Linked DNA regions of Drosophila melanogaster. Changing the gene in region 1 together with any one later gene gives a genetic interaction. Each region holds a gene or a part of one and is shown in the gene's direction. Other genes may lie near its edges. The genes, in order: Pp2B-14D, gl, sgg and sl.

Region 1 (7,546 bases):
ATCTCATCCATTGCAATGCGAATGAAAACCTTTTCATCATATGTATGTATGTATGTAATTATATACGTTACCTTAATTTTTTTGATACATGTATTTTTCAACATCTACTTCCTGCCCTCGAATGCTTTAAAAACTTTACACGAAAAAGAAAACAATTTAATATATATTATAAACAAAAAAGAAATGGACAAAGAAAAGCAAAAACAAAAAAAAAACAAGAAAAACCAAGTGAAGAAAAAACCAAAAAACAATTAAAACTTTACCTTTTGGATAAATCAATTTAAATGCATATTTTATATATATTTAAACATTTATTTATATATAACATGTATGATAAATATAAGTTGGAAAAACTTTGTCAAAGCAAAAAGTTTATATACTTATATTAAAGAAAAACAAAAAACAAATGGATGGAAGATGGGAAAGGAAAACCAAAAACCAAATAAATAATATTAAAAATGCAACATAACAAATTAACAAACAAGAAAACATCACATCTAGATAAATCTCTTAAAAATTTTCAATTTTATTATTAAACCGAAACCAAAGTTAATGGATAAACAAATTTATAAACTGTATTGCAAGGGGCAGCTGGCTGGCAAAAATTACATAAAATTTGCGCCGTTGTGACAAAAATTGTACGCAATCCAAGGAAGATAACAAATTAATTTACAAGATAAAGATGATGATAATGGAGATGTAGACGATGGAGAATAAATGAAGGCAACAACAAAATGCAGACAACAAGTTTTAACCTTAAGTGAATGCAAAACAAAATGAAGAAACCCAATGAAAACAAAATGATTATCAATGTTATTAACATAATTAATATTAACAAAAACGAAAAAAAAAGAACAAGCAAAAAAAAAAAACAAAAACAACCAAAAAAGAAATACAAAAACATTAAAAAAAATATACAAGTACCTATCCTGAGAATAAAATGCGCGCACATTTATTATTTCCTCTAAAAGTTCGTTTGAGTCGATTTCGCCACCGGGGAATTTCAGAATAAGCATATACATATTTAATCCCGGGAAGCATATCCACCAGTAGAAGGCTGGAGAAGTGGTGGACTGAGTGAGTAATGTCCAGAATTTGCTCGAAAATTAAGGAAGAGGTAAGTGTAAGTGGGGCGAAACCGACAGGTGGCCAAGAATTTCAATAATGAGGTTTTTACCTATATTGATAAATTCAGCATCTGGGCTCTCATATTCTCTAATTTTAATTCATTTTATAATGTTTAGTTAACTACGTTTAAAGAATAATTAAGATGAACGGCTTAATTGATAGCTTAAGCTTTTTTAAAATAAAATGTTTTCCAGTTGACATTTTGAATATGTACCAAGTCCAATTGGATATAATTATCAAAGTTTAGCACCTTGTGGTACATTGCTGTGCGGAATTTGTTCAGATTTTAATTTTGCGCCACCATCTACATCTTTAAAGTGAATATATTGTTAGAAAGGAGATAAAAGTAAGCGTATTCATTTAGAATATTAAATATACAGAGAAAGATATAATTTTGCACGTACCTTACTCGACTACTTCCATGACTTCCATTCCAGGTGCGAGTCTCGACTAGAGTACACATTCCAGCGGCCGTGTAGTAAGTTTGAGCTTTTGAGCCACGGCCACACTGCAGAAAATTCCATTAAAAAAAGCGAGAAAAAAAACGTAGCGAAAGAGAGAAATTACGACGTCTGCAGGGCCGAAGCGAAAAAAGTAGCAAATACTGAAACAGAGTGACTATGATTGTTGTTAAGTGAAAGCAGCACTTTTGGAAAACGGCTAGGCCAGCGGCGCAGGCCACGGAAGAAAGCAGCGGAGTCAGCGTTCCAAAATCAAAGCAAAGCCAGCGGAAAGTAAAGGAAAGCGAATCAAAGCTGGAAGGCGATAAAGCGGCTCACCAGGCACTCCAACAACAACAGCAACAATAGCAACAACAGTAGGAGCAGCAGCAACAACCACACAGCAGCAGCAGCAGCAGCCAGGGAAAGTACCAGAGTGTGAGTGAGTGAGTGAGCGAGTGTGCGTGTGCGTGTGTGTGGGTAGTGGAAACAGAACTGAGCCGTGAGAGAGCGAGAGCGGGAGAGCGAGAGCGGGAGAGCGAGCTAGTGGAAGTGGGAGCGGGAGAGGAGCAGTCCGATTCCGAATCCCGGAATAGAAACCAGGAAAAAGGAAACGGGAAGCAGTAGCCGTAGAAGCAGAGCCAAAAACCGAAACAGAAACAGAAGTCTCAACCATGTCTTCGAATAACCAGAGCAGCAGCGTTGCCCAGGCGGCAACAAGTGCCCGCACCGTCAGTGCCGGATCGGCGGAAGCCACAGATGCCAATAGTACCGCCTCGAACAACAACAATAATAGCAGCAGTACCGCTGCAGCGGGCAACAACAGCGACAACAGCAGTCCCACCACTGGAACGGGCACAGGAGCGAGCACTGGAAAGCTGCACGGCGGCCACACGGCAGTAAACACCAAGGAACGGGTGGTGGACAGCGTTCCCTTCCCGCCCAGCCACAAGCTGACCTTGGCGGAGGTGTTCGACCAACGCACCGGCAAGCCCAACCATGAGCTGCTCAAGCAGCACTTCATTCTTGAGGGCAGAATCGAGGAGGCGCCCGCCCTGAAAATCATCCAGGACGGAGCCGCCCTGCTGCGTCAGGAGAAGACGATGATCGATATTGAGGCGCCGGTGACGGTGTGCGGTGATATCCACGGCCAGTTCTACGACCTGATGAAGCTGTTCGAAGTGGGCGGCTCGCCCGCGAGCACCAAGTATCTGTTCCTGGGCGACTACGTCGATCGGGGCTACTTCAGCATCGAGTGCGTCCTGTATTTGTGGTCGCTAAAGATCACCTATCCGCAGACGCTGTTCCTGCTGCGCGGCAACCACGAGTGCCGGCACTTAACCGAGTACTTCACCTTCAAGCAGGAGTGCAAGATCAAGTACTCGGAGCGCGTGTACGACGCCTGCATGGACGCATTCGACTGCCTGCCGCTGGCGGCGCTAATGAACCAGCAGTTCCTCTGCGTGCACGGCGGTCTGTCGCCGGAGATACACGAGCTGGAGGACATCCGGCGGCTCGACCGCTTCAAGGAGCCGCCCGCCTTTGGCCCCATGTGCGACCTGCTGTGGTCCGATCCCCTGGAGGACTTTGGCAACGAGAAGAACTCGGACTTCTACACGCACAACTCCGTGCGCGGATGCTCGTACTTCTACAGCTACGCCGCCTGCTGCGACTTCCTGCAGAACAACAACCTGCTGTCGATCATCCGGGCGCACGAGGCGCAGGACGCCGGCTACCGCATGTACCGCAAAAGCCAGACCACCGGCTTCCCCTCGCTGATCACCATCTTCTCGGCGCCCAACTATCTCGACGTGTACAACAACAAGGCGGCGGTGCTGAAGTACGAGAACAACGTGATGAACATCCGGCAATTCAACTGCTCGCCGCACCCGTACTGGCTGCCCAACTTCATGGACGTGTTCACCTGGTCGCTACCCTTCGTGGGCGAGAAGGTCACCGAGATGTTGGTGAACGTGCTGAACATCTGCTCCGACGACGAGCTCATGACCGAGGAGAGCGAGGAGCCGCTCTCCGACGACGAGGCGGCGCTGCGCAAGGAGGTGATACGCAACAAGATCCGTGCCATTGGCAAGATGGCGCGCGTCTTCTCCGTGCTGCGCGAGGAGTCCGAGTCGGTGCTGCAGCTGAAGGGCCTGACGCCCACGGGCGCCCTGCCCCTCGGCGCCCTCTCCGGCGGCAAGCAGTCGCTCAAGAACGCCATGCAGGGCTTCTCGCCCAACCACAAGATTACCTCGTTCGCGGAGGCCAAGGGCCTGGATGCCGTCAACGAACGGATGCCGCCGCGGCGGGATCAGCCGCCCACGCCCAGCGAGGATCCGAATCAGCACAGTCAGCAGGGCGGCAAAAATGGGGCTGGACATGGGTAAGCTGTGCCATCTAGTGCGGCTGCAGGACGAGGATGCAGATGCAGATGCGGCACGGTGGAGTCTGGCGAGGTCTGAATTGGTCTGAAGGAGGGGCTGAGTGGAGCGGAGCGGAGGCAACACAAAGAACACCAACCGAACGGAACCTTAATTAAACTTAATGTGGCAGAGCAACAACTTAAATACTAAAACCAATTCTAATTCTAAGTAATTGTCATAACCCCCTGCATTTCGTATGTGATCCCGCACCAGCTCCATGCCCATGTCTATGTCCATGGCCCAGAGCCTCCAAACCGACGGCACGGAGCAGAGATTTGTTTTTACGCAGGCGCGCGCACATTGGATATTAAAATTATGTGTGGCATACTTTGGCGCGCCGGCCCCCAAAACGGAAAATTCCCTTTCGCGATAGAAGAAAACCAACCCATAACGTAACCCATAACCTAGCTTAAGTTGTAATGTATAAACTATAAACTGAAATGGGCAAATTTTAAAATGGAAAATGAACAAAACGGAAAGAGCTAATTGAAATCCCTCCCCCTGCGATAATGCGATAATTTAAGATGAAAAACCCCAGCAGAATCCCCATAATCCCCAGAGGCAAGAAACACTAATCCAATTGAAGAGATATGGGAAACAAAATCCAGCGCTAATCTGTTCCAAACATTTAGCAGCGGCAAAAAAGAAGCGTACATATATGTATACATATGATTATTTAGAAATATCGAGGCGCAGTGCCGAGATGCAACCGAAAGTGTAATGAAATTTGAAATGAGCAAAGGTCATTTTTTGTAATAATCGTAATCCTTGAACTCTAGAAATGTAATCTTGCATAGAAGAAACGAATGAAACAAGCAAACAAATTCGAAACCATTTGCAATATGTGCCGCAATAGTCCATAAATGTTCCTTATACGAATTAAACATTGAAAGTGAAATCAGAGTTTATTTTTTTTTTTTTAAATATATACTTAAATATATGTATATGTATTATTGTTGCATAATCTAACTTTTGACTTAATATGTTACATTTTACGTGTACGACTGTGTGTGTATAACTAACTATTTGCGTTTTATCAGTAGCTTGGCGAACAAAAAACAAAAAACAAAAAAAAACCAACCAAATGGCAAAAGCAAAAGCAAAGAAAAAGCAGCAAAAATCCATAAGAGATCACACAAGATGATAATCGTTGTTTGAGGATCACAGTCTAGCTAATTAATAAATTGATGAATAGGATCGATCGATTTCCATTGATGTGAATGCATTTTGAACACTGAAAGAACGGATCGTTTACCATTTAAATAGCAAATCAAATATTTAACTATTAAATTACTGTGTAAACCTAATAACGTATAATATATTTCTGCGTGTAAATTGAACTAAACGATTAATTAATTAACTAATTTAGCGAATCGATTTTTGTTGAGAGAGAAAGAGCGCTAGCACACACACACACACAAACACAAAACTTATTTTCCTTGACTTAGTATGAGCTAATTGCAATGAGATTAAGCGAATGAGATGTATTTAAGTAAGTATAAGGCATGGCACACACATGAGAAACGGATGAGTTTCGGCGTTTCAGATCAATTCAATGATAATGATGGCAATCAAGTTCTCAATTTGCGCCTACACCTCTTCCCAAAAACCGATGATATCAGCTTCTCCTTTATCACTAATCACAACCACTATCAATGCGAAATCAAAAGCTATAAGATATACCACATACATACTCACGCAAGAAATGCCTTCATCGAGATCATATTATCCACGAACCAAGAATATTAACGCTGTACTTTTGCTTCGACTCTTCAACCACCAATAATTGCATTGAACTCTAATCTAAATATTTATACAGATATATATATATATTATATACCGAGTTGGCATTGGAAAACAGTTAGTTTTAGTGATCTATGCACGTATCGTAACAATACCAAGATTAATTAAATCGTAGCTAAAAGAAACAAATCAAGGATGAGGCGGCAGTCGCAGAGTTTCCCTCTTAGCTTTTATAAAAAAAAAAAAGATGGAGAAATGGAAACAACTTACTCAACTAATTGAGAGATACACCATATTTATATAGATATATATATAGCGTTTTTTTTTTTTGTTAATCCTCCACCACAACTATATAATTATTGAAAGTTGATGAAAGCTGTTGGGCCGTTTAAGTTTCAGAGTTTCTGTTCTATATGTGGTTAAAATTGTTAATGTTGTTACACCGCAAATGCATACTTAGTTAGTTAGTCGAGTGAAATGGGAGTTCCCCCAAATCACATTTAATTGCAATAGTCTCGAGTATTGAACGCCAAGAACACCAATTCCATAGAATGATTGTATACACTCAGAAAATCAATCGGCATTTATGTTCGAAAATCGCCGCAAATATTTTCAACAAGTATGGGTTTTTACGGATTTAAAATAATGAAATTGAAAACTAAATTCCATATTGTTAGGCTATAAACAAATGTTTCTATTGATGGACAACATTTCAGGTATAATTTTTGAAAAACAACAAATATTTATTTCAATTGTTAATACCAAAATACGCATAGGTCAACAATTAAGTTTTAATTTTTTTTTTTTAATATAGTTTAATTATCAAAGAACTATACATTTTAAGCCATTAAACGTAGGCAATATTCAGATAATTTTCTGAAATAAATTAATTGTAAATTTTGGATTCTCTTAGGGCGATTTGCATTCCGAGTGTATCAAGAGCCATGGTAAATAATAAAGCTAAGAAGTATTAATAATTCTACACTATGTATGACTAACAATACATTTGCTTAGTTCCCTCGATAAAGAAAGTACATAACTATTGCATGAGGCATAGGCAAAACTTCCTGGCACATAGTAAAAGTAAATAATTGAATAGAACGGCTGAGGAGGAGATGAGTAGATTTTGATAATATGTACGTCAAGACCATGCCAACATACTTATGGGAACTATTTAAAAAGCATTAAAACGTTCAATATAACACATAATACCCAGACAAAAGCAGAATCAAAAAATGCGGGAACGAGACGGCTGCATGGTATATACATACATATATAAGACATTTCGCCTCTTAAAGCAATTATAAAGATAACAAATGAGTAACGTTTATTATATTATTAAATTATACATACATATACATACTATATAAACGGAATAAAATAAATCAGCAACAAACTTTCCATTTTATGGCGTTCGATCACTTAACTTTTTATCCTTGGGAGCAGTATTGTCAAGTTATCATTTTTCTTCTTAATTGCTTAAATTACAATTCTTTAAATACATGCATGTATTCAATGATGGCGCCAAATTTTGAACCTGTTTTAAGTCTTAATTCAAGAATATTTTTCCAAGTATGAGAGTGAACGAGAGGCAAGAGCGCAAACGAAAAATACCAGAAATCAATGTGAGTATTTTGAAATTTCAGCAATTGCCGAATTGGTTTTTCAAATAGATGTGATTAGTTGTTAAATTGCCAAATCTTTAATCCAATAATTTAATTAATAAAGTCTTAATTGAATTGAAATTGTTTTGTGTAAATCCTGTGCAAGTAACATATATTACTAATAAACTTGTATTTTTTAATCTTTTTT
Region 2 (7,193 bases), on another chromosome or scaffold:
TCTGACAATCGGCAGCAGAGACAGGCTCATGTCCTTAGCCAAGTTGTTGACATGAAACTGATACTTGAAGCGAAGTAAAAAAAAAAAGAAATATAAAAATTGAAAACTGGTTCGAATCTGCTCAGACTGTGGATCTGATTTTAACACACACGACGCTGGCTGGGCTTGACCTGAAATTCCCATCGATAAGGTAAGGTGATATGGGGGATATAGCTCGATACGTATGCGATCACTGCAAGCCTTTGCACTCAACTGATTTTGCCAATTGGCGGTGAATTCGATTTCGGGCGTGTGAACCAGGTGATCGATCCGAATTGGGATCTCTTCATAGCATTATATCTATAATATATCTTAGCTAAATATAGTCGAGTTGGGCTTAACACATCTATTTCATAATTTCCATTTGCTTTTCCATCTGGCCTGCGATTTATTCCTTGCTTTTTCTGCTGCGACCACAAATCGAACTATCAAATAACATTCAAACTATTCACGATTGTCGGCCCGGCGACAAGAGCATCGATCGATTGGCAGTCGTCATTGGCCGGGCTACAATTGAGAATCAGCGCCGGAGATAGAGATACAAAGATACACGCAACAGAAGCAGATACACACGGCCAGATACGCAGATACAAGCTACAGAAGCAGTCAGGGGGTTGCCGGCCGACTTGGCCGATGGACTGCCTCACTTAACCACAAAACAATGGAGCGAAGAGGAAGCAGAATGCCGACGAAGACGATCAATGGTTGGCAAGTCCGTAGCAACTGTCCCTCCCTCATCAGAGACCCTGCCAGAAAATTCCCATTTTAATATGTGAATTACTTTATTTTCAATACTTCTTGTATCATATTTATATCATACCAATTACATTGTTTATTAATAATCCCTATAGTACTTTTTGTTTATTATGTAATAAAATTACAATACCTTTATTTTAAGAAAGTAAATAATATGTTATATATCGAAAATATTCACTAATCACAAGCATATCAAATAGTCTCAAGTGATTTGATGTCCTCTTAAGAATTTAGCGACAATCTGCGGTTGTGCATCTATAGATTTTAAGGAAAAGGAACTTCATATCTTCTTTTCAACAAATAAAGTGAGGATACTTGTTTGTGAATTGAAAACAACGTTATTTGAACGGCCATCGATTTTGAAGTGTAACATTCTAGAGCACTAGAACTGCTTGCTAGCGATTATTTCTCGAAGTGTACTCTTTTTTCTCCCCGCCTCGTTGGTATCTGGTGTCGAGCTGTAAGATATTGGGTGACAAATAAAAACTACTGAAAACTGCTGCCGATGTAGCTGGCCACGTATGAATGGGCCTGAAACTCGGACTGGGCGGGATCGGCAGCGGAGGAGTCGGATATGGAGGCGAAGGCGAAGGCGGAGGAGGGTGACTTTGGATTTGGATGAGGATGTGGACGTGGAAGCAGCAGAGGGGTGGGTAGTAGCCGCAAAAGCCGGCAGACGGAGCGCATTGGTTGGCCAACAACGATGACGGCAGCGTTGTTGTGGTGGTGGATGGATGGAATCTCAGGAGTGGGCATGGGATATAGTGCGGGATGGCTTGGTGTGGGTATGGTATGGTATGGGTTTGGTATTGGAGGAGGGGTGCTTTCAGCAAGGGTCTCGAGTGTGTAGTGCTGCGTACTTGTGTCATTATAGCCGACCAAAGTGTGAGTGCGAGCGAGATTGTTGTTGCCGTTGTCTTTTGCGCCCTTTTGTCGCTTGTTTATAATTAAGTGAGTATGTTTTTTGCGCCCTGCTGCTTCCTCTGTAGTTGTCGGTTGTCGCTTTGCTGCCGCTCTGCCAATCCGATATATCAGTCGATTTTGGGCCGAGGTGGCTCGAACCGAACTGCAACTGACAATTAGTCGCCGTCTTATGCTCCTCGCCAAAAGTCGCTTCTTGCCCCGCACTCGAAAAATCGAAAACTGAAAACGCATAAAATTCAAATCGGAAAACAACGATCGTGTGTTACTACTTAAAACCGAGTCTTCGAAAAAAAAGTTACAAACATATTTTGCAAGAAAACGTTGAAATTCTATTGGTGATCTTGGTATCATGCCATTTGTGGATCTATTCAGAAGGTGAAAACGATTAAGAGTGCATATGTGAATAAAGAACGGAATAAACAATATTAAATCTGCAATAAAAAAGAAGAAAGAAAAAATGGAATACAACTAATGTATTTGAAATAAAACCTAATAACTGCAAATAGCTAATTAAAATGTCCTAACAATGTTTTGGCTAAGATCGAAAAAATCAATTCACTAAGAAGATTTTATCAATTTAACAATATCATAGCTTTGATCTCATTAAAAAGAAAAACAAAAATTTACTTTGATTTGCATGCATAAATTAGTTAAATAGCAATTTTAACGTTTTGTTTCTTTCAAAATGAAAGTTATTGTAATTTTAGTATAATTTTTTAGTCCTAACAATAATGAAACAATCGAATTGAAATCCATCTTCGTCATAAGAGCGATCTATAATTCGATATCTCTTTTAAATTTAGAGGTGAAGAATCTGTCATATTGTGTATCTAATTTCTGATTAGCTGTCGAACTTTATTTAAAACTGAATTTATTAACACTTTATTGAAAATATATGAAGATTAGATTTGATATTGGTATTTGATTGAATAAATAATAAATTGAATAATAGATTTGAATAAATGAATAGAAAGTGAATCTTAATTAGAATTTACCAATAATGTTCCGTCATCGCCTTGCAGTTGGAAATTAACGCATCAAGATGAAGCGTAGGAAAAGCAGGAACAAATGCGCGACTGCTGAGCCCAAACGTTCCAGAAGTGGAGTCATGTCATGGGATTGTTATATAAGGGTTCCAAACTCCTGAACACAATTCTGGGTGAGTGAAATCGGAAGCACCATTGCACAGATATGCAGATACAGCATATTGTATGGCGATACACGGATGGAAAGTCGCGAGTCGAGAGAGCAAAGCAAATGGCGGTCTCTCGATTTGTGTATTTGTGTGTGTCTGTGTGTGTCTCGAGGGGCGGAGCTAGTGCGCACAGTGGTTGTCATGGGAGCAAAAATGTATCCATGAGATACGCGCTGCTGGCGAGCATCTCTGGCGTACTTCCAGTGATTTTCATGCTGTTCTTTTTTTTTTTTTTTTGGCTGCGCAGATTCCCTGGAAGATCAAGAGGGTGGAGCTATGTACATATCGTGCGATGTCTCAAACGGCGGTCCTGTGGAACCAGAGACGGGCTATGTGCCCAACAATCCCCTGTTCGGCCTGGCGCTGGACAGCCCTCAGGTGAGTCCTGGAATCCTTTTTCGATTTCGCCTCAATATCTCCGGAAATCTTCGAGCGTTCGGTTGTGCTTGTTTCGTGGAAAGAACTTAGCTGAAATCTGTGATATACCTGAACTATTTAAATTTTATAACCAGGAAATAGAACCCAATACCGAAATTGTGGTTATTTTAATTTGCTATATCGGTAACTGAAAAATCAGACAGTTTTGTACTAAGAAGTTTATCATTTTCGTTTTTAAAGTAATCTATTACATTTTTAACCCATACGATTTTATCTATTGGGAAGTTTAATAGCTTAGAAATTCCTTCCATATGTAATACAATTAAACTCTCCTCAGAAGTCAGTATTAGAATGTAAAAATAGTTAAAATTTACTAAATGTTTCCACTAACTAACTAATTATTTTGTCTTAGTTACGTATTAGTACTAACTGAATGTATTTCATAACCGGTCTCAATCTCCATTTCCGTTTTCGCTCGTGCAGCAAGAGTGCGCCGCTTCCTGCGTCGGCTGCCTATCCTGCCAGGGCAGCACCGCCCTGCCCATCTCCTCGCTCACCAGCAGCGACTTCGACTGCGGCGGCTGTTTCGATCCCACGATTGGAGTGGGCGTGGGCATCGGTGGCGGCCACATCCAGATCAGCACGACACCACCGGCGAGCAGCGGCAACGGGAGCAGCAACAACGGTGCCGGAGGAGGCTCCTCGGGTAATCACGGCTACTGGAGCACCGACGAGATGGCTTCCACATTTCCCGGCCTACCGCCGCTGGACATCGATCCGCTGCCCAGCCTGTTCCCATTCTCGCCCTGCGGCGCTTCCTACAACTTTGCCGCCGGCAATCCGCACCAGGCCGCCTCACTCTCCTACACAGTGCATCCGCACCAGATGCTCATTTCGCCGAACTCCCACAATCATGGCCAGATGCACTCGCAGCACCAGCAGCACCAGCACCAGCAATCCCAAGTCCAGGCATCGCACGTAGGCAACTCTCTCCTCCAAAGCAGTGGTGGCAACAATATCGGCAGTAATGGTAGTGCCGGAGGAGTGGCCAACGCTGCCAGTTGCTACTATGAAACCAGTGCTGGAACGGCCGCACCACCTCCTCCTCCGGCGGCAGCCATGTATCCCAGCATGAGCGTGAACGTCAGCATGAACATGACCATGCACCATGGCTACGGTGCCGGTGATGCAGGCGGCGTGCCAATGCAGTGCTCCCAGATGAACTGGACGCCACCCAGTAACTCCACCTCGGCGGCAGCAGCAGCAGCGGCGGTAAATGTGCTATACCCACCGCTGCTGAGTCCCGGTCACTATCCTGCCTCGGCCACATATTCCTTTACAGCGGATTTTCGGGCACCGGCTCCCACGGGTCTGGGTGCCCTGCCACCGCTGACGGTGGGCGAAAAGGAGTCGCCATCGCCGCCGGCCAACTCCTCTTTGGCTGGCTACTATCCCACGGGGGTGGGCAATCAGGGATACACACCGCCCCACAAAAGTCCCACCAGCTATCAGGCAGCCGCCCTGGGCTTAAGTCTATCCGCCTTCGAGGACGAGGAGGATAGCAACGAGGATCTGGACGGCGATGAGGGCAGCAGTGGCGGCGAGATGAAACCCAATCTATGCCGGTTGTGCGGAAAGACATATGCCCGGCCCAGCACGCTCAAGACCCATCTGCGGACCCATTCCGGCGAAAGACCCTATCGATGCCCCGACTGCAACAAGAGCTTCTCGCAGGCAGCCAACCTGACGGCTCACGTACGCACACACACCGGCCAGAAGCCGTTCCGCTGCCCCATCTGCGACCGGAGATTCTCGCAGAGTTCCAGTGTCACCACGCACATGCGCACCCACTCCGGCGAGCGGCCGTACCGCTGCTCCTCGTGCAAGAAGTCCTTCTCGGACAGCAGCACCCTCACCAAGCACCTGCGAATCCACAGTGGCGAGAAGCCCTACCAGTGCAAGCTCTGCCTGCTCAGGTGAGTCCGGGATGGGGGATTTACTTACACCGTCCTTCCTCATTCCTAAACGAACGAAAATGGTTTTGCTTTTACTTTTACGTAAACCCTTAAAGCTTTAAAGATAGTTTAATAATTTCTATCGTTTCAATATAAAACTAACAACTTGAACAAAACTGAGACTGTTGCAAGCTTAAAAAAAAGGAAAACCAAAGATAATATGCATCATTCATTTTCATTCATGCATTTTCGTAAGATTTTCAACTTCAACTAAAGAACTGAAATTAAATGAAATAATAATTGTTTATTCAAATGTAATGCTAAAGATGAAAATTACCCCTTAAAAAAGGCTTAGGCCCCCAAAGAGCAGTCCTGGAACGTTATACATCGAGTTAATTGCTTTTTTGGTGTCCACAGATTTTCGCAGTCGGGGAACTTGAATCGGCACATGCGCGTCCACGGCAACAACAACAGCAGCAATGGCAGCAATGGGGCAACCGGAGTTGGTGGAGAGTCCTCCACCGGCAGCGGAGTTGGTGGTGGCAACAGCCTGCTCACATGACAAAAGCCAAGGAGTGCAGGAGGTTTCCAGCATTACCACCCCCCGCACACCCACCACATGCACCACCAGCACCACGCCCATCACCATCACCACGCCCACATGGGTAACTACGACTACGGGAACTACAGCATCGGCGATTATACTCCACCCGGAGCCACACAAAACTATTCAGGGTATTATTTCTGCGCACTCAACAAGGCGCCCAAGTTCGAACGATTCTACTAGGGACTAAAATCTGGAGGATCCCATCTGGATAAGAAACCTTAAAGGAGGACCACTCAGTGAATTATACGGGGATAGTCACTCTATCGCTGATAAATACAATAATGTATATGCCATACTCAACATTGCTGTAGAAAAATAATTTGGGTTCGTGTTAAATTGAAATCCTAATTGAACATAACGATGTAATAATACTCATAACCCAAATCCGCATCCAAATGCAGTTAAAAATGCTCAAACAATACAAATCTGAGGAATCGCGGAGAATCGAACAAAAGTAGGCCTAAGAGCTGCACTGTACATACTTATACATACTATATTTATTATATTCGCTTAGCCTAATATGCATTGAATCCAAGTTAGTTCATCCATTAAATAAGGTAGTTCAAAACACGCATAAATCTATTCCAAATTAGCCAACGAAATAGGATTTAAGACGGATATGAGTATGAATCATAAGACCAAACAACACAGCAGCACCCAAAACGAGAATATTTAAATTGGAATTGCCAAGGCATTAAACCCATAAACACCTGTATACGAATATAGAGTCCTAAGCTTAAACTAGACGTAGATGTAAGACAGGTGCTTTGATCTAAGCCAATTTTGGAGTATATAAAGAAAATAATAAATATACGAAAATTAAATACAGTAACTAATTGATTTCAACAATTGAAATATTATATAATTTAGGTAAGGAATTCAAAAGGCTTGACATTTAAACAATATTATCAACTAGGTAAACGGCTTCTGTGTCGCCTCCGCAGACCAGACGACTTCCATGCACATCGAAGGAGTTGATGGACTTGCGAACATTACTCAGCACTCCCTCCACATCGACCAGGGAGCGAACACGATCGCCAGACAACCAGGGGCTGTGTCCGTCTTTGTTATAGTCGCACCCGAGAACTTTGTTCTCTGACCACATCCACACCTCGCCACCTTCTGCGGCGGTGAACAGTTTGCTGGGATCCTTTTGATGGAAGCCTATCTCGTTGATGGGACTTTTGTGAGCGCTGAGATAGGAGGCGGGATAACTGAGGTTTCGCATATCCCAGACGGTTATGGAACCCTCTTCGCTGCCGCAAAGTAAAATATGTTGCTGCATCGGATGCTTGGCAAGGGACGAGACAAAGTTCGACTTGTCATCCTGGGAGGCCAC
Region 3 (4,541 bases), about 14 Mb from region 1:
AAGTCACTAGAATCAGTAACCATATCGGCCAACAAGAAGGCAGCTAAACAAGGACCCACTCGCGATGTGAAAGTCAAGAGCACGGCCATCGAGAGCGGCCCCTCCAAGCCCCCGCCGGACAAACATCTGGAGCGCCAGTTTGTCCAGTCGGTGAATAGTTAGTGTCCGGTCGCTTTGTTCAGCTGAAGTTATTGCTAATTATTATTAAGTTCTCGTAACTAATTTTGAATTTTCTTCTTCATTTTCTTTCCAGGTAAGTTGACTATCATATTACCAAACTTCCTATAAACGGGTAAGCAAAAGTCTGTTCTCCCACATTGAAGTCTATATATATATATATATGGTGATAACTGCTAAAAGCAAACTTATAGATTGTAATTGTTTTTAAGTGTTTAATTAGTTTATAAGTAAAAGCTACGTATATGTAAAGCTAGCCTAATTTCGCAGAATTTGTAGCTAGTGTTGCCCAAATGGGTTAAGTTACATGAGTTTATGTTATTTTGTTTACAAATGAAATTTGTGGAAATATGTACCAATACAGGGTTTAAGATTTCGATTGTGGCGAACATTTATGGCTGTGGCCTTGGGACTTGCATACTTTCGGGCGGCGCTCGTAATGAACCGGCTGCATTTTTCGATGCTTTCGCAATTAGCGGTGGTTAAAAGACCTCGCCACCCACATCCCCACCTCCCACATTCCCCACCCACTGAATTTTCCACTCTTTAACTCTTCTGTTTTTGTTTTGTTTTGTTGACTCATCGGCACGCGCGCTCTCATTTCGGCCTCTTTCTTTATCTCTTTCTCGGTTACCTAATTTTTGCATAAGTCGCGTCGCCGACACATGAGAAATTCCGGCGCAGCGTACTAACAAATACGCACACACTCGCACACTCGCACATGCAGCTAGCACACTCACGCACCGCATGCAAATTAGCTGTCCGCTGACTAGAAATTCTTTCGCGAGCGCTCTCTTTCCCGCCCCTTTGCTCTGTGTGCTCGCTCGCTCCCCACACGCCGCACACGCTCCCCCGCTTCCTCCCTCGCCGTTCGCCGTCCATGTGACGATCAATTTTAGCGCACATTGGGGCAAATGTGTGGAGCAAGCTGCCAGCGATGCTCTCTTTCGGGTGAGAAACAACATAAATACTTCTTTCATTTAATTCCATTTCCATTTGAGAAGCGAAGCAAAGCTTTCGGCCCACCGTGCAACGTTCAATGCTCCGGTACAGCTGCGGTCAGTCAGTTAGAAATCAAAGTTATATCAAATGTTCCTTGGAAGAGACCAAAAATGATGTGTCATGCCTTAGTAGAGACAAACTTACCTAGAAAGGTGCCTGTATTTATAAACTGGTGTTGACATTTATTTAAAGTTGTAGAAATATTGATTAGTTAGGTGGTCCTTCCGTTGCGAGCGCTGCTGTGCTGCGGGACGCCGGCGCAGGCGCTGCTGCGCTGCCGGCGACGCTGTCGGCTGATGTGAATGTGATGTAGATGCCCATGCTTCGACTCGCTCACTCGCGTTGAATCCATCGAGCAGGCGCGTCGTTCTCTCCTCTCGTTCCGGCGCGTTCCATTCAGCCATTCCGCGACTCTATTTGCCTGTTGTTTTTGTAGCTTTATCAGCGACAAAAAAAAAAAAAAACGAAACGAAACAAATATAAATATAAATAACAACGGCGAAACAAAAAGTGAAACAAAATCGTGACGCGCCTGATTACTTTATTTTTTGTGTCAACAGTGTGTGCAGTGTAATGTGTCTCCAAAAGAAAAATAAAAATTAGAAACTAGTCGAATTCAATATGCATTGAAATCTAATTAGTTGCCGCATTGTTGTTTTTGCCGCCTGACACCATTAGAAAATCACGAAAAGAGCTATCAACATGGCCTAAAGTGACCAATGAATTGGAGTTTATTTCACGGCGTTGTGAAATATGCTCCAACTTTAACCCAAAAACCCACACACACTCATTGCCAATGTATTAATGTTTTTTTTTATTTTTATTTATACTTGGGGGAGATGTGTATTTTTTTAGTGGGGCGAATGTTCTAGAAAGCTCTTTAAAGTACCTCGATTTGTGTGGGAATCTAACGCTCGTTGTTTGCCCCTTCCTCGCAATAGTTGTTTGTGAATATGTTGCGATGTATACGTATCCACGATTTCAGTGCATCTTCACTACCAAATCCAAGAAGAAGAAACTTAAAATTCATCAATGGAAAAGTTTTTGCAATCCCCCTGTCTCGCTCACTTGCTCTGGCCCCCTCAATCGCCGCTCTCTTTCCGCCGCAAGGCGCACAACAAGTGGCAAACCGAAGCGGCGGCGTCGTCTTCAAACCAGTTTTACTGTAGCGTTGTTGTTGCTGCTTCAGCTTACACTGAAAAAATAACGCAGTCAATAACGCAAATTAGTCCATAGCTTGTTGGTACCATTTCGTTTGTATATTTTATAAGCACATTTTGTAAACAGGAATTAATGGAGAATACGCAACACAAATCTAAGGCACGATTTCTAAAAAAGTTTAAATGATGTGGTGATTAATGTTTGTTTATTTATCACGACACTTAAATTGTTCTCTGTGTAATTCTGCGGCTGCTGCGTCTCCGCGATAATTGGTGCGGAGGTTGCCCCTTCAGCCCTCCCCCCAAACTCCTCCATCTACCATTCCATCTACCGTTCCGCCGATCAGTATTTGCTTTTATGGGCAAAAGTTCTTCAATGAGTGGTCACAGCATTTGTGAAGGGAGGGGGGCGGAGGGGGCTGCGGTACGTGCATGCAATTCCTTATTGGCGACAATGTTGAAATGTGTGCGCCTGTTTGAAGGAAAACACCAGAGATCAAACCAATAGCTTTAAAACTTTGATTGCCTTTTGATTAAAGCCATGTGGAACTTAGTGCCATCACCGTTATTGGGCAGATTCTAATTGGTTTTCCAAGTAAGATGCTGAAAATGCAATTTTTTCTCGTAACGTTAATCGGTGAACAGGGAATCCCCCTCATTGATCTCCCAGCGCAGTGGAGCCAAAGTCCTAAGTTTTTTCAGCATGGATGACAGTGCCTATTAGTGTGACCGCTGGTGTTTGTGGTGGCTTGGGCCAAAAGTGAATTATTCATGTTGTTGCTGCTGTCGCTCTGCCAGTGGAAAATTCCCAAAAAAAATTCGCATGAACTGCGCCGGCTGCTCCTCCGCTCCTCCGCTGCCCCACATGCTTCTCCTTCCACTCGTTCTTCTTCTTCTTTGAGTGCCCCCCAAAGGCAAAAAGTCGGAGTCGAAGTTACTTGGTGTGTTAGTTGTTGTTGCTCTTGCCCACTCATTCGCTTCGGTTTTTTTTTATTTTCTTTTCTTGTCTTTAACATTTTTTCTTTTTATAAAAATAGCACAGACGAAGAAATATTTGCACACACACACACACACCACGCACACACGTGTATTGTAGCATTTGCTAATTTTCTTCGTTTGTTTCGCTTGGCGTTTTTTGTTTGTTGATTCGCCTATTGCCTCCGTCTTCCCTCTCGCTCTCCGCCACTTTTATATTTTCAAAGACAGCAATTTGTATCTTTAGTGCGGGGATCACTTTTCTCTCTTAAACCCGACTTTCTCACGCTCTCTTCCGGCGCTCTTTCGTCTCCTTATCCACCACCCACCCACGCCCTAAATGTGTCAATGGTTCAAGGCGGACGAATGAATAATCAAAGAAGAATTAACTCGGAGCTTTTCACATTAAAAAGCTTCTCAATTGTGGAGCTTTGCTTTCGTCAGACTTTTTTCGGGGGCCAAAACTGCATGACGTGCCGCCAAAATCAATAAACATAGTATTGTTTCGCACTTTGTGTATACATACTATGTACTTTCACACTTGTTCTTCCCATCCAATTTATGCAAGATCATATGCTTAGTTCTTAGTACTGCCAAATCCTTACAAAAAAAAGTCGGGTTTAATGCGGCTGTCACCGCCTCTTATCTTTCATTTCCCTCCAATATGCCTCCCACTTGCAGGCAGTTGACTTTGTTTCACTGGAAGCCACGCGTTGCTTGTCGATTTGATCCTCTTATAAATATTTGCACGTCTCGATTTACATTGTTTGCTTGTTGTTTTTGTATGTATGGCATAATGACGTTTACGATGACGCGCTTGAAACGACTAAAAGTCGGAATTATATGGCTGGCCCCCCGTCGATTTCTCACGCCCATTTTTGGAAGTGAATCGCGGCTTTGGCATTTTTGGTATCCAGAAATGTTGTCGCCACTGCAAATACGAACAAAATATACATAATAACATGCGGAATCTGGCCCATGGCGTCGTAAACCGGTGCAACCTTAATGACAAATTGCAAATGTGAATAGAGTGCGTTTCATAATGCACTTCCGGTCATAAAATATAATAATTCCTAAGGCGAATTAATTGTTTATCAATCAATTGTTTTGATACAACAATTTGTCAATAAAGAAGCACACATGGGCACCAAGAATCTGCTGACGTTGTCGCATTCTTGTTATCGATCAATTAACGTTTTTCACTTCAATTTGCAATAAAGTAATTCT
Region 4 (7,979 bases), 210 kb from region 1:
CGCGTTAAAATATTCATGATCGACAACGCCGATCTTTAACAAATTGCTATGATTAGCAATGAAACATTTTTGAAGCTCATTTAATTTTAGAATTTCTACATCTGTTAATGTTGGTTTTACTTCCAACTTTCTAATTTCCAAAATAATTTCGGACTGCTTCTTAAGGAATTGAATAGTCTTTTCTGACATCATTTTGAAAATTTTTTGTAATTTCTTAATATATATAGTACGTGTATATGTATTTTATATGTATTTATATATATATGTGTGTTTGGATAAACAGAAAATTCTTGTTTTGACTTAGCTGATGTCGTTGTTGTTGCTGCTGCTGTTGCTGCTGTTGTTGCTGCTGTTGCTACTGCTGTTGCTGCTTCTGCTGCTGCTGTTGTTGCTGCTTCTGCTGCTGGTAGAGGCTCCTTTGAATTTGACTTCCTTCTCTTCTTTAAGGCTCCGTCGATGTTTAAAGATGATTTTTTTTTTTTTTGCACGTTTTATTATTTTTGTAGTCCAGTCAGATTTTTTGTTTTTTAGCCATTTATTTCGGCATTTATGCTCTTTTGGCATATACACTGCACTCTATTTATGAGCTGATTTAATGCTATTAGAGCATTTATAAGGCACTGTTTTCAGGCACTTTTTATTTAATTTATGCTCTTATGGCATATACACTGCACTCTATTTATGAGCTGATTTAATGCTATTAGAGCATTTATAAGGCACTTTTGTTATGCACTTTTTAATTTCACAATTGCTGATGTATGGCCTCAAGCACGCCTTACCACAATTTATAATGGTACACAAAGCAACCTTTAGCTATAGACTATAAGGTGCTTGTTTTAAAACATAAAAGATTCTTTTGTATCTTTTGCTTTTTATATTTATACTCTGTTCCTTACCTTTGGTAGGGGGAAACAAGAGTCACTTATTTTTGCTACCTTTAGCTGTAAGATGCTTAAAGGAGCTGGCCTTTCTCTGAGTTCCTTACCTTTGGTAGGGGGAAACTGCAGAGTCGATTAAAGGCTCGATTGACCAAATGTAAAATCCCAAATAAGAAGACTTTACTCGTTGAGTTTTTGTAAGAAACTGATTTTATTTGGAAATATCTTCGGTTTAAATAGGTGACATGAGAATCGCATCTTAAAGTAAATGGCCTACGCAGAGGCCTAAGTAAATAGTCCCCGCCTTATCGAGGTCCCACGCTCGGGCACATCTGCCTATCTTGAGCGGCGAGGACCTTATCTGTGGTCTCCCACTAAGGGACTATTTTAGGAGGCGGGGAACGATCTCAAGTGACTGACTCATGTAGTGTGCACTTAAATTACATGTTTTTGAGCAATGCACCCATGTCGCCTTAGATAACAAAATCCTAAATATAATTTATCGCTCTCGATTCATTTACATAAGATATGAACGGAGCCCAAAATTGTAAGTCTTTAAATATATTCGTGTTCATGTGTGAACAGGTAGAAAAGCAGACAACAACAATCAGTCAATTGCCTAAGCTTATTAATTTGTAAATCTATTTTAAATACAATATCAAGAAAACTTATGTTCGTTTGGTTTCAAGTTAGTTAGTTAGGAATTCTTCAGGTCGGGATTTATTTTCCTATCTACATAAGGTGAGTTATAATAAAAGCTTTAAGCTTCTTCGATTTGGTTGGTATGCTTAGTTTTGCTTTATTCAAAACTAGGAATACTATTTACATAACGAATTTTTGAATCGCACTTCAAAACAAAAGATAAAACTGGTCACACTTTAATATTTCAGTTATTCAAGTATGTAAACAATGGAGCAATTTTTAAGCTAAACTTTTAAATAAAATAGTCAATTTATTTTTTTATTTCCTCACAATTCGAAATACACCGCAGTGTGAACGCCCCATTTGCGTGGATTTAGTATTTTCTGTACCCACATTACGGCCTGGCAACACTGGCACTTTCCTCAACAGCTGGCTTATCTTATCTGCTTCTGTGGTATTTTTTGGGTACAATTCGGATATTGCATTGTTAATCTCGGTTTATTGAGTCCCAGTGGCCGTGATTTGTGCATCGACCAGTTGGAAGAGAGGGAGCAGTTGATCTGCGAATAGTTCCACGCGCTGGCACCCATAGTTTGTATGCATTGCACTTAGTCTGGCGATCGGTTGGCGAGGCGAGAAACAACCTGTGGCAGCCAGCGGATGAGAACTGGATTCGATAGGAATCGACACGTTTGGACCGGACAGGATGAGCTGCTTTAGTGCGATGAGTGCCCCGCTGCTGGGCGAGATGGAGCAGACCATTGGTATGCTGGAGCGCGGCACCATCGTGACCAAGTTGTATGGGAAACAGCGTCGTCCGGATCGCCGCCACCTGATGCTCATACGAGAGACACGACAGCTGCTCTGGGCAACGGTGGCCACACAAACGCCACGCACCGACTACGAGGGCGCCATACAGCTGCGGGAGATTCGCGAGATACGGGTGGGCAAGCACTCGAAGGAGTTTCGCCTGTTTGCCGACGACTGTCAGCGCTTCGAGTCCAGCAAGTGCTTTGTCATACTGCACGGCAATCACTTCAAGCTGAAGAGCTTCTCGGTGGTGGCTCTGTCGGAGATCGAGGCCGACAATTGGGTGCGGGGATTGCGTTACATGGTTAAGGACACACTGGGAGCACCCTATCCCTTGCAAATTGATCGCTGGCTGCGTCGCGAGTACTATCAAATCGAGAATGTTAACACGCATTCCGCCAAGGCCACGGAACAGTCGCCAGCCCAGGTGACCATTAAGGACTTTAAGCTCTTTTTGGCCGGAGTTAGCTGTAAGATGACCACCGGCAAGTTCATGGAGCACTTTACCGAGGATGTGCGGCGCAAGCACGATCTCAAGTTTGATGATTTCTCGCGGCTATATCAGAAGTTGCTGCTGCCCAACGGATTTGCCAGCGTCTTGTCCGGATCGGGAGTGGCCAACTTTCCCTATTCGGAGGACCAACAGGTGGTGCGACCGGCGGAGCTGAAGCAGTTCCTCGAGACGGAACAGCGCGATGTGAGCGCCAGTGAGATCAGTAGCGCAGCCATTGCCTCCTTCATTCGGGACTTTGTTCAGGACGTGGAACGTGATGTTCAGGAGCCGTATCTCACCTTCCCGGAGTTCGTCGACTTTCTGTTCTCCAAGCAAAACGACCTGTGGAACAGCAAGTACGACCAAGTGTTCATGGACATGAACCTGCCGTTGTCCTCCTACTGGATCGCATCGTCGCACAATACCTACCTGACGGGCGATCAGTTCTCCAGTGAATCCTCCTGCGAGGCCTACGCCCGCGCTCTTCGCATGGGCTGCCGTTGCATCGAGTTGGATTGTTGGAACGGGCCCGACAATCTGCCCTACATATTTCACGGCCACACCATTACCTCCAAGATCAAGTTCATGGATGTCATCAAGACGATTAAGGATCATGCGTTCACCAGTTCCGAGTATCCGGTAATATTGTCCATAGAGCAGAATTGCTCCCTGGAACAGCAGCGGAATATGGCGCAGGCCTTGATCGAGGTAAGTTGACCTAATCGAATCTATTAATAACAACAATTTATATATTCCATGCAAACAGGAGATCTGCATGTTTGCTTTTTGATTCATTCGCTGTAATAATGAGTTCTTTTATGGCTTTCTGTGAGATTGCCTAACTTAATATATAATTGAAATGGATTTTGTATATTTCGATAGTTGGGAATATGTATGACAATATGAAGAATTCGCTTTTTATTCGTTTGAATCTAATTATAAATGTAACAGAGCAATATTTTTAGTTACTTAGATTTCAAGACGATGGTAATTAGATATTTCTTGATGCTTTAAGTATTAATCGCATAAAAATCCATTGACTTATACCTTTTATGACCCATTACAGGTTTTCGGGGATATGCTGCTTACGCAACCTTGTGATCGAAACGAGCAGCACTTGCCATCGCCATACCAGTTGCGTCGCAAGATAATCCTGAAGCACAAGAAGTTGCCGCAGTTTGACGACATCGCGAATGGGATTTCTAGCACGGGTTCACTGGGCCATAGATCATCGTTGGGCGGAGCGGGCGGTGGAGCGCATGGGGAGAACGATGGCGAGAATGTGCGCAAGGTGTTCAAGGAGGGACTGCTCTACTTCAAGGATCCGGTCGATAAGTCCTGGAATCTTTATCAGTTCGTTCTGACCCATCAGGAGCTAATCTACTCCTCTGAGATCAACGAGTCACGCAACGGAAACTCCGAGGATGATGACTTTGGGCTTTCTTCGTCGTGCTCCCTAAACAGCAATATGCAGCAAAAGCAAAAGGATACCTCGGCCAACGATGAGCTGCACTTCGGCGAGAATTGGTTCCATGGGAAACTTGAAGGTGCGTTTATTGGTTGACATATATGCAGTATATTCCATTTGTTTCGTTAACAATTTGCATTTTAGGTGGCAGAAAGGAGGCTGATGATCTACTAAAGAAGTACAAACACTTTGGCGATGGTACATTTTTGGTTCGGGAATCGGCCACGTTTGTGGGAGACTATAGCCTTTCGTTCTGGCGACGTAATCGCCCGAATCATTGCCGCATCAAGTTAAAGCATGAAAATGGATCGATCAAGTACTATCTAGTGGAGAATTTTGTATTCGATTCACTGTACTCACTGATCGTTTATTATCGCAAGAATATGCTGCGTAGCTCAGAGTTTTCGATTATACTGAAAGAGCCAGTTCCGCAGCCGAAAAAGCACGAGGATCAGGAGTGGTTCCATCCGAACACCACCAAGGAGCAGGCCGAACAGGGTCTATACCGGCTGGAAATTGGTTCGTTTCTAGTGCGGCCATCGGTGCAGAGCATTAACGCTTTTGTCATTTCGTTCACAATCAATCGAAAGATCAAGCACTGTCGCATTATGCAGGAGGGACGCTTGTACGGCATCGATACAATGAACTTCGAGTCTCTGGTCTCGCTGATCAACTATTATACCCGAAATCCACTCTATCGCAATGTTAAGCTCAGCCATCCGGTGTCGCAGGAGCTGCTGCGTCAGGCGCTAGCGGAGGCGGCACAGGGTGATCATAGTGGCGGTCACGATGACAACGGTGCCTCCAACTACATGGGCTCCAATCTGGAGGAGAATGTCACGTGCAAGGCGCTCTACAGCTATAAGGCGAACAAGCCAGACGAACTCTCTTTTCCCAAGCATGCCATCATAACGAATGTCCAGAGGGACAACTCGATGTGGTGGATTGGAGATTATGGTGGCATGATCAAGAAGCATCTGCCGGCAAACTACGTTAAGGTGAGATGCATATATAGATTTATTTGAAATTCAACTATATTCAACTCTTGAAAATTCCAATGTCTAGGTTATCGATTCAACTACCGAGGACTACAATTCGCTGAACGAAGAGGGCACGGATGGACGCACCGATTCCATTGAGATTTTCGGAGCTGTTGCCTCGCTCTTTGAGTCCAACGATCCGGGGATTATTTTCAAGCTGCAGATACAAACGCCAACGATGCAGAATCCGTTTGTGATTGGCTTCGACAATCAGGAGACGGCGTACGAGTGGATAAAGGCAATCCAGGAGGCAGCCCTTATCGCCAGTCAGCTGGCATCGGAGAGGCGGAAAAAGGAGCGCACTGCCCGGGTGGCCAAGGAGATGTCCGATCTGATTATCTACTTCCGCAGCGTGCCGTTCCGCGAGCACTCGTGGATATTTCAGGAAATGTCGAGTTTCCCCGAAACGAAGGCCGAAAAGCAGTTCTTCCAGCAGAACACACAACTGTTTCTCTCCTACCATCGCAATCAGATTAGCCGAGTGTATCCGAAGGGTCAGCGCCTGGACTCGTCGAATTTTAATCCCATGCCATTCTGGAATGTTGGATCCCAGATGATCGCACTGAACTATCAGACAGGCGATAAGGCCATGCAGCTGAATCAGGCCAAGTTTCGGAATAATGGACAATGTGGCTATATCTTAAAGCCATCGTTCATGAAATCTGACAGCTTCAATCCGAACAATCCGCTGTGCGATGGCCTAAGCGAAGTTAAAGTTAGCATACGTCTGATAGCCGCACGTCATCTATTCCGGGGCGGCAAATCGAACAATCCGCAGATCGTGGTCGAATTGATTGGCGCTAGCTTTGATACGGGCGTTAAGTATCGCACCAAAGTCAATGAAAATGGTTTCAATCCGGTGTGGAATGAATCGTGCGAGTTTAACGTGCGTAATCCACAGTTTGCGATCCTTCGCTTCGAAGTGCAGGACGAGGATATGTTCGCCGAGACGCACTTCATCGCCCAGGCGTGCTATCCGCTGACCTGCATTCGCCAGGGCTATCGCAGCGTCATCCTACGAAATAAGTTCAGCGAGGAGCTGGAATTATCGTCCCTGCTGATCAACATTAAGATAGCAAATGTTACCGCACCGTAAGAGGATTGCTGAGTTAGCTGGATCAATATCAATGATTCCAAATCGAGTGTTTGCGAAAACAATTGCGCTAGATCAAAAGGAAAGCGAACTTAATTCGCAAAAGCAATTTATCAACAACTTGTACATAAGAACATTTCATCGAACTATGAACCTGATTCTCTCACTTGTAATTTGTCTAAAAAGCTTAGGATCTGAAACGTATGATTTAGATTTAGATTACTTTCTATACACATCAGCAGTTATGGTTAGTTCATACTATACAATGAGTATTCAAATGGTAACAATGAATTCTGAACTCCTGGAACTGAAATCAAGTTTATGTAATCCGTATAATTTGTACACTTTTCCATAACACTAAGCATTCAAGTCTGTTGTCCTCTAAATGTTGTATTTGTGCGTGAGATTGATTCAGGAGAATAGAATGATACGAATATGTTTTAACTATTCGTCACCTCATTATAAGCATAAGCAAACCAGATTTGATTTGATTTCGATTTAGGGAACTTGAGCTATTTCCATTTTACCAGTTTTACCATCAAAAGTTAAGTACATTAAGTTGATTCCAAAATTAGAAATAGAAACAATTCATAAACAGCTCAATTGGCATCAATTTAATGGGCATTTGATATTCAGTTTCAGGATCAGCTTTTCATAAGTATTATATTACAATCTTCTTAAAGACTTTTAACTGAAGAAAATAGACCACTTTCATATGTTATCTGGAAAACTATTTTAGACCTTTCTCTTAGCACAAATACTCAAACAGCATTTCAATCATTTAGCATTTACCTTTTTTATTTTCTCTTTTAAAGCTTAAAGTAATAATACAATTTATAAAAAAAAAAGGGCAAAGGAAATTTAAACCACTTTGATTACATATGTCTTCCAGTTGTTTAACAATTACGATATACCACATAATTGTGTCTATGTTATTTAACCACGATTGTTGTAGCTAATGTTACAAAAACTAAAAGTTTGCAAACAATATTAAAATAAAATGTAATTATTCAATTACATTTAAATGAACGTGCCTTAAAATTCGAAATGATCGAAATTTTAAATGTTTGAACGTTAACTATTGAAGTACACCTGTTGCTAAAATAACAAATATTTGAAAAATAATAATATAGCTCAAAGATATCTATTTTTTATAAAATCAAAGTTCTAACTTAGCTTCTTCTCTAAACTGCGAAATCTAAATATCTAAAGCCTAAGTTCAATAGACGTATTATTACTAAATGCATTATATAATTTATATATCTAGATATTCATAAAATGCACTAGTCGATTTAAGAAGTGGAAATTGTGCTCCCTATGCGAATCATTTAGGATTTTAATCTGAAACTATTTGCATTCCATACGAATGCCCCACTGAAACGATCGATATCATTTGTCTTGCACTCGCATTTAATTATTTAACAAACATTCTGCTGTTTCCATTCGCACAATAGTTCTAATTTGGACATTTTGCGCGTTTGAGCGCATTAGCAAATCATGCTTAGTATATATGTATGTGTATATGTACCCAAAATGTATTTCATTTGTACGTTCC

Evidence for each region.
Region 2: of Pp2B-14D (region 1) and gl, changing one suppresses a phenotype caused by changing the other (phenotypic suppression), as found in Drosophila melanogaster (one study listed by BioGRID).
Region 3: of Pp2B-14D (region 1) and sgg, changing one suppresses a phenotype caused by changing the other (phenotypic suppression), as found in Drosophila melanogaster (one study listed by BioGRID).
Region 4: of Pp2B-14D (region 1) and sl, changing one suppresses a phenotype caused by changing the other (phenotypic suppression), as found in Drosophila melanogaster (one study listed by BioGRID).

The regions. Positions count from the first base shown.
Region 1 is NC_004354.4:16,554,104-16,561,649, reverse strand, and holds Pp2B-14D (protein phosphatase 2B at 14D), read left to right. Parts: upstream 1-1,633; 5' UTR 1,634-2,242; coding exon 2,243-3,955; 3' UTR 3,956-7,023; downstream 7,024-7,546. UniProt on the Drosophila melanogaster protein: Calcium-dependent, calmodulin-stimulated protein phosphatase. This subunit may have a role in the calmodulin activation of calcineurin.
Region 2 is NT_033777.3:18,367,418-18,374,610, reverse strand, and holds gl (glass), read left to right. Parts: upstream 1-1,872; 5' UTR 1,873-2,094; intron 2,095-2,741; 5' UTR 2,742-2,832; coding exon 2,833-2,878; intron 2,879-3,161; coding exon 3,162-3,292; intron 3,293-3,775; coding exon 3,776-5,268; coding exon of another isoform or gene 5,269-5,272; exon of another isoform or gene 5,273-5,664; coding exon 5,665-5,809; coding exon of another isoform or gene 5,810-6,034; 3' UTR 6,035-6,684; downstream 6,685-7,193. Other genes in the region: Nup43 (nucleoporin 43kD), read right to left, coding at 6,750-7,193. UniProt on the Drosophila melanogaster protein: Transcription factor required for gene expression specific to photoreceptor cells.
Region 3 is NC_004354.4:2,645,123-2,649,663, forward strand, and holds the start of sgg (shaggy), read left to right. Parts: upstream 1-1,514; 5' UTR 1,515-1,749; intron 1,750-4,541.
Region 4 is NC_004354.4:16,348,360-16,356,338, forward strand, and holds the start of sl (small wing), read left to right. Parts: upstream 1-1,955; 5' UTR 1,956-2,226; coding exon 2,227-3,531; intron 3,532-3,889; coding exon 3,890-4,370; intron 4,371-4,435; coding exon 4,436-5,289; intron 5,290-5,356; coding exon 5,357-6,427; 3' UTR 6,428-7,979.